2 linked regions of the Cricetulus griseus genome follow. The protein of the gene in region 1 interacts with the protein of each later gene in a biochemical or structural test. Links are inferred from orthologs where the notes say so. Each region holds a gene or a part of one and is shown on either strand. Other genes may lie near its edges.

Region 1 (6,726 bases):
CTTGGTCAGGCCAAGTTCCTTTTCAGCCAGATTGAAAGCATTCTGCAGATTGTAGTGTGCATTGCACTTCTTCAGGGACTCAAAATCCAGCAGGTCTGGCCTAGGGGTGAGAGTGGGGGGTGACACAGAACACATCCAAAGCATGTCAGAGCCCAAAGAAAACAATGTAAATTCATTCCTGGCTTGAAGTGCCCCAAGCCCCCTGGAAGTATACCATCCTACTTGCCGGCTCCTCTCGCACATTCTTTTCCCTGTTCTTTTTGAGACAGGGTCTCTTCTTATGCAGCCTTGACTGGCCTGGAATTCACTTTGAGACCAGACTGGCCTTGAATTTGCTGCCCCCTTAAAGACTGAGATTTCCCTTCATTTTTTCCTCTATAACTATGCTGTAATTCAGTCACTCTCCTGGCCTCTGCTGTGTTCTCCTGGGCCATTAATCCATGTATTCACCAAACCCGTGAATTCACCAAACACTTACCGGTGTTTGTGCACGATGGCATTAAAGGCCAGCCCATCTCTCCAACTGGTGGTAAAGTTGTGCACATTGACATTGGGATACCTATAAAGAAAGACCAGGAAAAAATAGCGAGTGCTTCAGAGCCCTGGTCTGTGATAAAAGAACATCAGGCAGGTTGTGAACCGGAGAGTCCATCTCAGTGTGGCCAACCCCTATAGCCATGCTCCTGGATCTCCTCACCCTGCGGTCTTCATCTGGCACCACAGCAGCAGGGCATCCTTGGCTGATTTCTTCTCCTTGTTGTCTTCTGTCTCCACACTGATGTCTTGGATCTGAGAAAGTAGCAAATAGGACCTTCACTCCCCATTGGGTGTCTTGGTGATACCAGAGACACTCAGAAAAATCACAGAAAACTGATCTTTAGGAGTGTTGTATAATGGGCCCCTTATTTCCTGGGCTAGTGACACTTATTATCAGGCCCAGAGGATCTGAAGTAGGGTGTCGGTGGAGCGGAAGTACCTATGAGTAAGGGAGCTGGTTCTTCCAGGTGGAGAATGTGAGCAGGGGAATGAATGTTTTCTGAGAGCTGGCTTTCAAAGATAGAGCTGAAAGAGCTCTGTTTTGAGTGAAAGAGGGAGAGGGCCACTGGGGAAGGACAGGTACAATTAGAGCAGTTGAGGTGACACTGAGACGGAGTATCATGGAAAGTAAATGGATATGCTTCAAGGGCAGCTGCTCTAGGAAGCTCCCTATGCTCAATTTTTTTTAGAACACTTTTTTAAAAAAAAAAGATTTTATTTATTTATTACGTATACAACATTCTGCTTCCATGTATATCTGCACACCAGAAGAGGGCACCAGATCTCATAAGGGATGGTTGGGAGCCACCATATGGTTGCTGGGAATTGAACTCAGGACCTCTGGAAGAGCAGTCAGTGCTCTTAACCTCTGAGCCATCTCTCCAGCCCTCTATGCTCAATTTTTAAATTTATTTATTATTTTATTTTTATGTGTATGGGTATTTTGCCTGTATGTTTATCTGTGCGCCATGTGTGTGCCTGGTGTTCTCAGAGGCCAGAAGAAGGTATTAGATCCCATAGAACTAGAGTTATAAGTGGTTGTGAGCTGCCAAATGGGTACTGGGAATTAAACCCAGTTCCTCTGGAAGAACAGCCATTATAGTGTTTTTAACTCTTAGGCCATCTCTCCAGCCCCTCAATTTTTGTTTCTATCTTGTCATGGACCATAATAAGTTAACAGTGTGGGGGCATAAAACTGATTGGTGCACAGCTCACACCTTAGATAACACTTGGAGGATACCTGGAATCGAAGGATGATGGTCCACACCAGCCCGAGGGTCAGACGGTGGTTTCCGTCCACGATGTCATGGGAGCCCATGTTTTCCAAGTGTACTTTCTGCTCCTTCAGGAACTGTAGTGCTTTATCCACATTCTCCAGGCAGTGAATCCGCATTCGGCCCTTTGTGGGCTTTGGCTGTGGGTGGATGGAAGGCACAGTGGCATGGGACCACGGCTCTCTTTCTTCTTAGTTTTCTCAGCAACCTGCCCCATACCTCCCATGACTTCCTTTGGGAACACAGTGACAGCCCTAGGGTCAAGCCAGAGGTCATGGAGCCCAAGCAAGGTTACAGATGAGGCTTGGGCAGATTAAGATTCCCAAGGGAATTAATTGCACCCAGAGTGGGTGGGAGAAGAAATGTTTTCAATGGGGCCACTGTTCCTGTCTCTGCAAAGCATGGCTCCCATGTAATCAGGTAGCAAAGCCTCTTGGAATGAGAGCATCCTCTAGTCAGAGGAGCCTTGGTATATTGCTCAGTGCTCTATGGCAGCCCCTGTGGTTTGTTCCCTGAAGCTCCCTCTTCTGTTCACTACCCCTGCTCACCAGGGTCTCTCCCGAGAGCACCTCCAGGAGCCTCAGGAGGTTGCGCCCGTCCCGCAGGTCGCTGTACAGGTCTCCCACCCGGCATGTCACCCGGGCCAGGTGGGAGTTCACCCACTTGGTGAAGGTTTTCTTCTGCACAGCTTCTCGTTCATCTGCAGCGACAACAAGGAGTCACTTCTGCCCTTCAAGGACAGTATGCTTGCTTCTAAACACCAACTGGCATGGTGTGGAATGTGGTGCCTGAGAGAGCAGAAGTGACAGCTGGGATCGGCAGGGTTAGCGATGACCAAGAGAAAAAAGCTAAGAAATGAAGAGGCCGGGATGAGCTCATGAGCAAAGGAAAGGATAAAAAGAGGAAGACAAAGTCTTCAATCCCAGGTGGAGACAGGTGGATCTCTGTGAGTTTGAGGCCAGCCTGGTCTACAGAGAGTGTTCCAGGACAGCCAAGGCTACATGGAGAAACCCTGTCTCTGAAAAAAAACAAAACAAAACAACAACAAAAAAAGAAAAACCAAGACAGATAAAAAAGGCCTCAAGAAGAAATGCCCAGGAAGGTGCTGGGGTTAGGCTTCATGCTGTAAAGAGATGAAATACTGACAACTTACTCAGTGCCTCAGTTTCTCTATTTGTAGGATGAGCATATTATTTCCTACTTTATTGGGTCACTGTAGCAATTAAATGAGATACTGGGTATGACACATTTAGTGGTTGCCCAGTGTGATGTGGCTCCCTGTTGGGGAGCTTTGATAAAGGCAGGGCCCTCCTTCTCCTTCAACTGTGGCAAGGGAGAAGATGTGGCCTGTAAATATGACAGATCTCGCAGATGGTCAGCAACTGGACTTGACCGTGGAGAGGTTGTGTGGGCCTTTAAGGCAGCTCCCTGTTCTGGGTCATGTACAGAAACGGTAGGCTACTCTACCCCAAGGCAGTGTTGCACAGTTGGCTATAGTGGATCCAGACCTAGAACACCAATACCCCAAGATTCAGAAAGACTTTATAAGAATTTAGGCCAGGCATGGTGCTGCATGTCTTTAATCTTGGAAGGCAGAAGCAGGCCTATCTCTGCGAATTCCAGACCAGCCATGGCAGATCTCACCAGACAGTGAGATCCTGTCTCAAACAAAAACAAATGGCGCACAGCTTTAGACCCAGCACTCGGGAGGCAGAGGCAGGCGGATCTCTGTCTACAGCCTTGTCTACAGAGAAAGTTCCAGGACAACCTCCAAAGCTACAGAGAAACCCTGTCTCAACCCCCCTCCGCCCAAAAAAAGAACTTTCAAGTTCAAGGGAGTAATGCAGGTGGAGTTGAGTGCCAACCTCCAGGAGAGGTAGGCAAGGCCAGGTAGCCTAGTCCCCAGGGGGAGCTCCTAACAAGGGATGCTGTCAGGTTGCACAGGAAGCTGATGATTAAAAATGTTATAAATGGAAAGGGACAGGTAAGCTCTGCACAGTAAGCTACTTTAGAGGTCAGAGAGACCCATGTGGGGACCCAGCCACAGGGGTATGTGTGTAGATTTACTTCCATCTCAGAACCAGTACCTCAGAAATCTAGACTCAACCCTTAATTTCATGTTCCTGTGCACCTCCCCCATAAAACAGCCACACACCCAAGTCTACTCCTGACTTCCTCACCTCCAATTCCTGTGCCTATGCCAAACCTGGGATCCTAACCACCGTGTGGGATAACCCCCCCCCACTCCAGCACTTGTGATGCCTATGGTGACTCTGGACCTCTTTTAGGGTCCTAGGCCCTATATGAGTTGAGGACAGATTAAGTCATCTGGCCATTACTGAATCCACGGAGACCTCTCTGATACCAGGCAGGCTGGTGTGAGGCCCATAGGTAGACTAAAGTGGAAGCAGTACCTAGAAAGACCTGGTAAAGCTAGACACCCAAGTGTAGCATTACAAGACATCCCTAAACACACACACCATGAAATAAACTATCATGTGCCAAGATGAACATTCCTGTTCAGACACCTATGGACCTGTGTGTACAAACCCTCCCCTTTGACACACGCTCTCTATTTTCTACACATCCTCCCTCCACAGTCATTCTGAAGCCCAGGAAAACACATAGAAGCTCAAGGTCCTAGGCCTCTAGCCCATTCCCCTTTTCTCCTTCCTTAACAAGGCCAACATGGCCAAACCATGAGGGTGAGCCACCAGGGAGACTGCGAGGGCCTCTCTAGCGGACGACATGAACCCACAAGCTACCTTCACCCTCATCACCTTTGCACCCAGCAGGGCACCCCCACCCCAGGTCTCATTCAGTAGAATTTCAGTTGTCCACATATCTGGATTCTCTGGCTACTTGCAATGATTCCCTGTAAGTTCCACCACGTTGAGTAACAGGGGTTCCAGGCATGCTAGCTCTTCCTATCCCAGGTCCCCTTTGGCACACAGGCTCCCTCTGCCCCGGGGAAACTCACCTTGAAGCTGTTTGAAGCGTCCTTCCAGCACACTGGCATACTGAGCAGGATTGATGAAGGCAGCTGGTGAGAGCAGGACGCCCCCAGGGTTCTGAGACCCTTCCACAGCCTCATAGTAAAACTCACCGGCCCCGTTCAGGCCATTTCCATGTATCCTGCCCACTCCGTTCGCACTCATGGTGCCTGCTACCTCCTACTCAGCCTGTGGCCCAGAGTCCATGCTCCCCTGCCAGGGCAGGGCCAAGAGTGTGTGTCCCCTAAGCCTGTGCTGGGGGTCCAAAAAAAGGCTTCCGTACCTGGTTGGGTGGAGTTGTTTCAAGGATGCTGGGAGTTTCAAGGAGTGGGGGGAAAGTTTTAGGATGCCTGAGCTTCTGAGACAGTGAGTAGGGCACACCTGGTTGTGGGGAGAGGAGACAGAGGCAGCTCCAGACAAACAGGTCGGACAGTGGCGGGGGAGGGGCACGCTGCTCAGGAGGCGGAGCCAGTTGGGGCTTGGCCAGGCCCTGCAGGGGCGGAGGAGGGTGTTGCCAGCACCCAGAGAGAGACCTGCTCGTCAGGCCACTAGTTGCCCAAGACTAGGGAAAACCTGCCAGAGGGGGCCCCAAAGCAAACTCCTGCTTTCAGAAGGTCTGCCGTGGGCAAGGCCTCTCTGGGCATCTATGGGTGGGCTTGTTTCAGGACACCTGAACTTTGATCTCGGCCCCTGAGAACAGAGAAACAGGAAGCAAGGAGATCCTGGAAGAGAAGCAGGTGTGCCCGTTTTGACTTCTATGGCCTCCTCTGGGGAGTAAGTATTGCAAATGTCCCCCAGCACCAGCCCTTTGCGCACCAGGCCCCTCAGTCAACATCTCAGCCCCCATACACCCTAGTAATGGGTACAACTATGAGGTGCCCTTCCTACCTCTTCCTGGGCTTCTGCTTTTGTCACTGGCACCTACACTTGTTCCTTCTCATCCTTAATCATTTAGGATTTATTTGGCACCTACTGAGTGAGTGGCACTGTGCACAGCAAAGCCCATTCAGAGATGGCTCTTCAGGGGAGCCTGCCTTGAGCGGGGGATAAACACTCCACAAGAGCACCGAGTGGTGTGTGCATATGGTGACTGTTCTGATCGGAGCAAGTCTTGTGTGCAGCTTGACAGGACTTATGTGTCAGATGCTCAGACATGATAGCAGTACTGAGTGGCACGTGGCATGCTCACAGACATGGTGAGAGCTGAGTAGCACCTGTCACATGAGCGAGACCTAGAAGATTTACGGGGTGGCATATAGCATGTACACGTAGATATAATGATCACATGGATTGGCATGTGACCTGTACAGGCACAGTGACACTTCTGGGAGGTATGTGTCATTGCAGATATCAGGAGAGTTTGGGGTAGCATGTGCACAATGACATCAATGATAGTACCAGAGGATACACGAATCTAAAAACAGGGAGCCAGGCACACTTCCCCAAAGACGTGACATTTTCCGTACCCCACATTTCCTGTCTTCCCTGAACTACTGAAGTACCGATAGAGTTTTTGTCAGCCAGTCTTCAGTCCCAGCCAGGAAGATGCCAGGAGAAAGTGACCCATGAATCCTACAAGCTGTAGCCATTATCTGGTGCTGAGCTGGCTGAGTATAATTTCCCCGGGAAAGCTCTCAAGAATCATGAGTTCTGAACTATATGTCTAAAGGTTCTGAAGTTCATCTCTCTTGAGAACCCGAATTTGTAAAAATCAAGGCCTCTGAATCTCTGCTGCTGGGAGCCACCCTGCTGGGCGATCACTCCTTAAGTGGAAGTAATGTTCTCTCACACTGGAGCTGGCACGGCCATGGGCAGGTCAGTAGCTATGGAGAGGTTGGGATGAATGTAGGAGGCAGATTGGGTGGGTGGCCTTAGGGTGTGTGGGTGACTCAATCCCAAAACAGCCACTGGCTGGTGGTGTC
Region 2 (7,518 bases), about 39 Mb from region 1:
CACCCTGTAGAGGCCGGCTTCTTGAAAATGCAGTCTCAGGAAATGCTTGATTTATGAGAACTAAAGTCAGCTCCTAGCCACCAACGACCATCCTCCAGGTGCAGGCTCTCCCACCACCAGCAGGCTGCAGGCTTTCGGTTTGAGCAGATTTTCTTAAGTACTTCAGGTGGCTTGATGTGCTGGGCAAGAGGATCATGGTCCTCACCTCACAAGTGAGAGCAGGGTGCTGAGAGCAGGGAAAGAGGACAATGGTCCCCATCTCACAAGTGAGAGCTGGGTGCTGAGAGCACTGGTTCTAGGACAGGGGTTGTTAATTGGTTCATTTTGATCCCAAGACTTTCATTTGGTTCAGAAAGCACTTTGAAGATTTAAAGAAAGACAAAAAACTTACTGAGATAAAATTTACATTTCACATACACAATTTACTAATTTAAGGTATAGTACAATTCTATGTATTTTAGTATGGTCAGAATTGTATATAACCAGGGTTTAACCATATAGCCAAGGCTAGCCATAAATTTGTAACTAACTGAAGAATTTTTTATCACTCTCAAAAGAGGCCCTGTGCCCAGTAACAGTCATTCTGCATTATATGTACCCATTCTTCCAGCACTTGTAGCTACCAACCTACCTGTTTTTATAAACCACAGCATACTGTTAGATTTACTGGCAATGGTTACAAATTAAAGACTGCACGTGAAATTATCCTTCTGATTTTCCAGGAAAATCCAAAAACCAGCTGGTACACACCTGTAATCTCAGCTCTCTGGAGGCAGGTAGACAGGAGGCCCCTAAGTTTGAAGCTGGCTTTGTCTATATAATGAATCCCCTGGGTAGCCAGAGCTACAGAGTGAGGATCTTTGTAAGAAAAGGAACAAAGGCCGAGGGATGGCTCATCAGCTAAGAGCACTTGCTGCTCTTCCACAGGACACAGGTTTGACTCCCAAGCACCAACTAGGCAGCTTACAACTGTCTGGAATTCCAGTTCCAGTCATCAGATGCCCTCTTCTGGCTTCCAAGGGCACTGCATGCAGGTAGCACACAAACTTTCAGACTCATTTAGATCTCAAAAAACAAAAAAGAAGTAAGGGGGCCAAAGAGATAGCTCATCAGTTAAGAGCAATCGATGTTCTCCCAAAGGACTGGAGTCTGGTTCCCAGAATCCATACTGAGTGATTCGCAACCACCTGTAACTTCAACTCCCCTGAGGGATCCAAGGAAAAGGGGATGGTGGGGTGAACCGATGCTTCTTGCACTGCTAATGCCAAAACAAAAGCTGACAATTCTTTTAAAAAATAATTATGTGTATATGCACATGTCTTGTATGTGTGTCTGTGCAGGTGAAGTGCAAGTACCCTCAGACCAAAGAGAGCATCTGACCCTCTGGCGTTCTAGTTTCAGGTTGTCAGCTGCCTACATGGGTACTAGGAACGGAGCTCTGGCCCTCTACAAGAGGACCAAGTGCTCGTAACTGCTGAGTCATTTCTCCAGTCTGAGACTTGGCACTTCTCTGCATTTTTTAATGACTAAGAAAGAGGTAGCTCCAAAACACAGGTAGCTAAAGACATAAGTAGTCATGCTCTCTGGATATCAACACTGAGAACAAGAAGTGTCTTGAGACCCCGTCTCAAACAAACTAAAGAAAGAAGTATCACTCTATCATTTGCAGAATTACAAACATATCTGAAACCCCTCACCTTGATTGGGTCTCCCTTCCCCCTGGCCATTTTCTGTTACCATGATAGAGATCATTAGTTATTCACCTATCCACTCACCTAGCCAATGAAAAGGCTTTATTGTGTGCATAGTGGTACCGGGCTCTCAATGCCTTGTAGAGTCGGGTGGAAGAGGAGTAGTGGTGAGCTGGAGAGATGGCCCAGTAGTTAAAGAGCACCAGCTGCCACACTGGGATAGATCCAGAGTTTGCATCCTTCCCTGCACCCCATTCATGTTGGATAGTTCATAACTGCCTGCGGCCGCTAGTTCTACAAAATTTAAGCCCTCTTCTGGCCTCCAAAGGCACCAGCTCTCTCACATGCACGTGTGTGGTCATGCACAAGAGACACATCTGGACACACACAGACAGACACACACACACACCACACACCACACACACAAGATAGAGATGGAGGGAGGGGAGGGGAGAGAGACATTGTGGGATGAAAAATGAAGGATCTCACTCTCCCCACATGATTTAAAAAGTCTGTCTAGTCTAAGTGAAGACAAAAACTAATACTTCAAAACAAGGTGTCTCATTTAACTTTGCTTAACCTACTATCCCAAACAAACAAACAGGGTCTTAGAGGCTGGCTTCAAACAATGACCTTGAATTTCTGATTTTCCTGTCTCCAAGTGCTGGGATTACAGGCATGGACCACATCTGACTTCTTTTTTTAAATATTTATTTATTTATATTTATTATGTATAATGTTCTGCCCAGGCCAGAAGAGGGTACCAGGTTGCATTACAGAAGGCTGTGAGCCACCATGTGGTTGCTGGAATTGACCTCTGTAAGAGCAGCGAGTACTCTTAACCTCTGAGCCATCTCTCCAGCCCCACATCTGACTTCTATACCAGGTCTATGCTGTCTGGGGATGGAGCCCAGGATTTCACAAATGTCAGACAATGCTACCAGCCGGGTGACATACCCCCCCCCTCCCCGCCGAGTCTCAGCTTCACTTTGTTTTTTGTTTTCCAAAACAAAACAAGGTTTCTCTATATAACAGTCCTGGCTGTCCTGGAACTAGCTCTGTAGACCAAGCTGACCTTGAACTAAAACAGTTCCACCTGCCTCTGCCTCCAGAGTGCTGGGGGATCAAAGGTGTGCGCCACCACTGCCAGGCTCAGCCTCACCTTTTAAAAAGGCAGTTTACAACAAATAAGACAGCCTTCCTTGAAAGATTGAAGAACTTGGAACTAGATGATTTCATTGTTAGTCTTGGATCTTCAACTCCTAACGGGGCCGTCTGAAAAACCTTCCCGAGTCTCACGTTCCTGCATAAACTGGGAAAGCAATCTCCATCTACCTACTATGCAAATAAAAGAACCTAGCGGCACGCCCAGGTGAGAAGGGCTGAACATCACAGTTACTCCGATAAGGTCGGCCTAGGACAGAGGGGTTACTCCACAGCGGTTTCTCAAAGGAGGGATGCTGAAAGAGCACAGGACCAAAACTTTGGGTGAAGCATAGAAACCTTAGACATACTGCCCCGCCTCATAAAGGCAATCCTTAGGCTCTTTCTATTCATCATTATCGATGCGTTCGTGGAGGGGTGGTTAGCAAAGGGATGACATTTAGATAAGGCGATGAACTTATACAGGGCACCGCTGCGGAATATGACCTTGGTCACTTCCATCTTCGGTGTTCGTTCTGTGAAAGGAGACGCAAACTTCCTTCTTAACCGTTCACTTTCTGTGAGGTTGGCTTCAACTGACAGGCTGGCGAGAGCGCCCTGGAAACGCTAGCGTACCTGACAGACGCTCACGCGTCTGGTCACCTCCCGGCCTCTCAGCCGGGCACGGCCGAGAGGAGGGCACCTGGCCTGCTTTGTCACTCTCCTTCTTTGTTTACCGCTGCTAACGAGAATTCCTAATCACAAAAATAACTGGAATCCCATAGGCATTTCTGGCACCGCATTATGCGGCCCCACCCTGATTCAGTTTCCTATGCGGCCCAGCCGGCTCACACCCCACCTTCACCGCTGGACCAGCCGTCGCCTTCCGCTCCCGGAGTGCGCCAAGCCAATCCCCGCCGCCCCAGCGCACCGCCCCACCCCTCCCAGAAAGGAAGCGACAGGCTCGCCAGCCAATTACCGCACACTGCTGGTCTAATCCGGCCAGGCCCAAAGGCGGGACCAACAGGCTGAGATAGACAGCGAGAGCAGCCAATTGGGTGACGAGAAGCCAGGGAGAAGGCGGGTGCTAGGGTCTCAGAACGGTTAAGGCCCCTTGAGCCGAGGGTCCAAGGACCCTTCTCGGGCTACAGCTCTTCCCTTTGTTTACGCCCAAGCTCTCCATCACACGAGTGCTGCTGGCCGCCCTGCCTGCAAACTGTGGCTGTGGGGAGGACGGGGGCGGCGGCGGCTGGACCCGCCTGACAGGCCGGGCCAGTGACAAAGAGCAGGCGGCCTAGGCTGAAACCTCGGAAGCGACCCTTTCTGGAGGGCAGCGCAGTCTCTCTAGAGATAGGAAAGGCGCTACTCACGTTGTCGATCACGACAGGCTGGTTGGCGATCACATCGTAGGACTCCATGGCAGAGGAATCTTTCCTTCCGAGGAAGGAACTGCCAGCCCGGTCCGCTGCAAACGCCACTGACGCGCATGCGCAGTCTAGTCGCCGGTACTGGCCGTCCAGGGAGCGGCCCGACCTCGTCTCCGAAGAACTACAATCCCCAGCATCCTTTGCCCCAGGGCTGGCGCTCCAGGCAGAGCCCGAGTCCCGCCGGGTTTAGAAAACTGGATTGTGTTTCCGATGAAGGGTGCGATGGGGTTTGTAGTCTCGGTAGAGTCAAGCGCCACAGGTGTTCATTATGGTGCATGCCTGGATTTGTAGTCCCTTCGAAGCTTTTCCTTTAAATTCCAGAGTCTGGAGTACTTGTACTTAGTTGAGGTTAGGTTTGACAGTAGTTCAGGGGCTGTTGAGTTTTACCTATTCATCTCACCACTCAGCCATTCCTGCACTTGGGCAATGTAAACCATTAATAAACATTTCTGGCACTGAAATGTCGCTCAAGGGCAGAATGCTTTCCCAGCACGTATAAGAAGCGCAGCAGTGCCCGTAGCTAGTGGCGCACCCTGGAGGCAGAGGCAGGCGGATCTCTGAGTTCGAGGCCAGTTTGGTCTGCAGAGTTTCCAGGACAACCGGGACTACACAGAAAAACCTTGTCTCGAAAAAACAAAACAAAAAACCCATGAAGCAAAACAAAGGTTATCAAAAAAATACCTGTAGTTGGATGCAATAGAATACTGGTCTAAAATATTATCTACAGGTTTAGAGACTGCTTTAGTATCTTTTCTTGAGCTTAAAACCTTGATGGAGCCGGACATTGGTGGCACATGCCTTTAACCCCAGCCCTGGGGGGGGGGGGCAGAGGCAGGCGGATCTCTGTGAGTTCGAGACCAGCCTGGTCTACAAGAGCTAGTTCCAGGACAGCCTCCAAAGCCACAGAAAAACCCTGTCTCGAAAAACCAAAAAAAAAAAAAAAACAACAACAAACAAAAACAACTTGATAGGTGAGAATATTCAGGCAAAGAGAAAGTATGCGTAAATGCTTTCCCCTGGAGTATTTATTTCCCTGCCTCTTCAAGTTTCTTTGAGTCATCGGCACCGAGATATATTAAAGAGTTGTAACATATTAATAAAGACACACAAACGAATGAGTTGGTCAGTTGTCAGGCTTATCTTAAAATCGCGTATCAGGAAAACAGTACTAGCTAGGAGCTTCTTAGCGCTTTCACCACTCCTGGCACCTCCAGGTTCCGCGTCTGTTTCAAACTGGGTTCCTCCTAACACTAGGGGGAGGCCGAGATCCTTGGGACGCTCCCAACACAGAGGCAGGGAGGCGGGGCCTATTGTCAAGTCACGCCTCTCCATTTGTGACTGGCAACGGCACTAACCAATGGGCGGCAGCCAAGGGCACACCGACGCCCCGCCCCCTGGAGCTCCCCGCGGTCCCGCAGCACCCTCTGGCCGACTCTGCGAAGGCTAGGGCTTGGGCGGACGGAGCACCGTGCGCAGGCGCGGAGTTAGACCTCGCCGTAGCCCCCATCGCCTCGGGGAGTCTCGTCCACTGTGGGTCCGCTGGCCCATCGGGGCGCCTCCCCTCTTCTACCCTCCCGGGTTCCCCGCGCGCCCTACGCGCCCCGATGGCGGAGCTGCGGCCTAGCGTCGCCCCCGGCCCCGCCGCGCCCCCGGCCCCTGGCCCTAGTGCCTCTCCGGCCTTCGCCTCACTCTTTCCCCCGGGACTGCACGCCATCTACGGAGAGTGCCGCCGCCTTTACCCCGACCAGCCGAACCCGCTCCAGGTCACCGCTATCGTCAAGTACTGGTATGCCCTGGGCCTCGGGGGGACCGGGGCCGCCGGGACGGCTTCGAGCGCCGGGCACGAAGTAGTTTGCAGCAGCGGGAGGAAGAAAACGGTTAAAGGACTTGGGAGCCGGGAGCTTCCTGATGCTGGGGACGGAGTTAAGACAGAAGTTGGGAGTGGGGACAAAGGGTTAACGGACCCTCTGAGTAGTGAGGGGTTAACCGGGACTGGGGGGACTGGGAGCCGGGGGTGTGAGCAGGGGCGGAGGGGGGACGTGTGAGAGCGAACTGTAAACGTGGAGAAAGGAGGGGCGCCTGGGGTGGGTCATTGGTGGGCTTGGGGAAGCCAGGGGGCGGCTGGAGTGGGATGGGGGAGGTGAGGCGGGGCCTGGAGAGCATTTGAGAGTGCTTTGGAGGGCGCGAGACCGCGTAGTCCAGGGCGGTCTGGGGACCAGGAAGCCCCTGTGGGCTAGGAGGGAGGAAGATGAGGGCATTGTGCCTTTGATGAGTGAAGAGTTGAGGAGGAGACCTTCTTTCGGGACCTTCCCGAGCGCTGGAGCTTCTGTCATTCAGTACGAAGCTGTTGCTCTTGAAGTTTGACAGAGCCACTCTTCCAGATAAACTTTTTGCTTACTCTGCACAGTTCTCTCTCTGCAGAGCTTGCTTCTGGCGTTGCAGCTGCTTTTGCTTTAGGACTTTAGTGAAGAACAGGCTCAGTGAGCCGTGCTTTGGCTCGGGATTGAAGGGGATACTGCATGGGAACTGCATGGAGGAGACCTTAGTCGTGGTCAGGGGCAGCCTGAAGACGCGCCTCCTGTCATGTCTTCAGGATTTCAGCCGAAGTTTCTCCTGGGAAGCCCAGGATAAGTTTAAAGTTGCTCAGTAAAGGATTAGTTTCCAAATGGGCTGTTCTTCGGGAAGAAACTACCCTTTCTGATTTCCCGTTCTTGTTTGCAACAGGTGTTATGGGGACGAGTTCTCATTGTCTTTCTGGACCAAAAATAGACTAAGAGATGGCCGCATTCATGCAGGAACTCAATGTATTAGATGATCCCTTTCAGTGGATCTTGGAAGACTCCCGGGGCAACTGCTTGGGGTACTGGCAAAAGGTGGACCTGAAGGGGGAAAGTGGATGCTGTTGCTGGTTTACACCCCTTTTAAGGCTGTCCTTTTCCTATGCAACACCCCTTGCGGCCTCTGGGGAAGGCAGTTAGGCTGTACAGGGATGAGATTAACTCCCTGTGTCGGTGAGAGGATGATGCAAAGAAAACTGACAGCCTGGAGGGCCTGGGGACCAGCCTCTGTTCTGGTAGCCAGGAGTGCATCTGTGGCAGGCATGCTGTTCACAGGCGGAAAACAGCATGAGTGGAAAACAGCTCTTGGTAACCTTGTTTGTTTGTTTGTTTTTTGAGGCAGAGTCTCACTATGTAACTCTGGCTGTCCCAGACTCGTTTTATAGACCAGGCTGACCTGGAAAGCACAGAGATTCCCCT

Evidence for each region.
Region 2: the proteins of Sptbn2 (region 1) and Actr1a form a complex in vitro, tested with the Homo sapiens proteins (2 studies listed by BioGRID). The link is inferred for Cricetulus griseus from reciprocal best matches to the Homo sapiens genes SPTBN2 and ACTR1A.

Annotation. Positions count from the first base shown.
Region 1 is NC_048596.1:54,562,364-54,569,089, forward strand, and holds part of Sptbn2 (spectrin beta chain, non-erythrocytic 2), read right to left. Parts: intron 2,512-6,726; coding exon 2,360-2,511; intron 1,952-2,359; coding exon 1,778-1,951; intron 790-1,777; coding exon 698-789; intron 560-697; coding exon 479-559; intron 101-478; coding exon 1-100. UniProt on the Homo sapiens protein: Probably plays an important role in neuronal membrane skeleton.
Region 2 is NC_048596.1:15,200,207-15,207,724, reverse strand, and holds the start of Actr1a (alpha-centractin), read right to left. Parts: upstream 4,360-7,518; 5' UTR 4,253-4,359; coding exon 4,205-4,252; intron 1-4,204. Other genes in the region: Sufu (suppressor of fused homolog), read left to right, coding at 5,866-6,047. UniProt on the Homo sapiens protein: Part of the ACTR1A/ACTB filament around which the dynactin complex is built. The dynactin multiprotein complex activates the molecular motor dynein for ultra-processive transport along microtubules.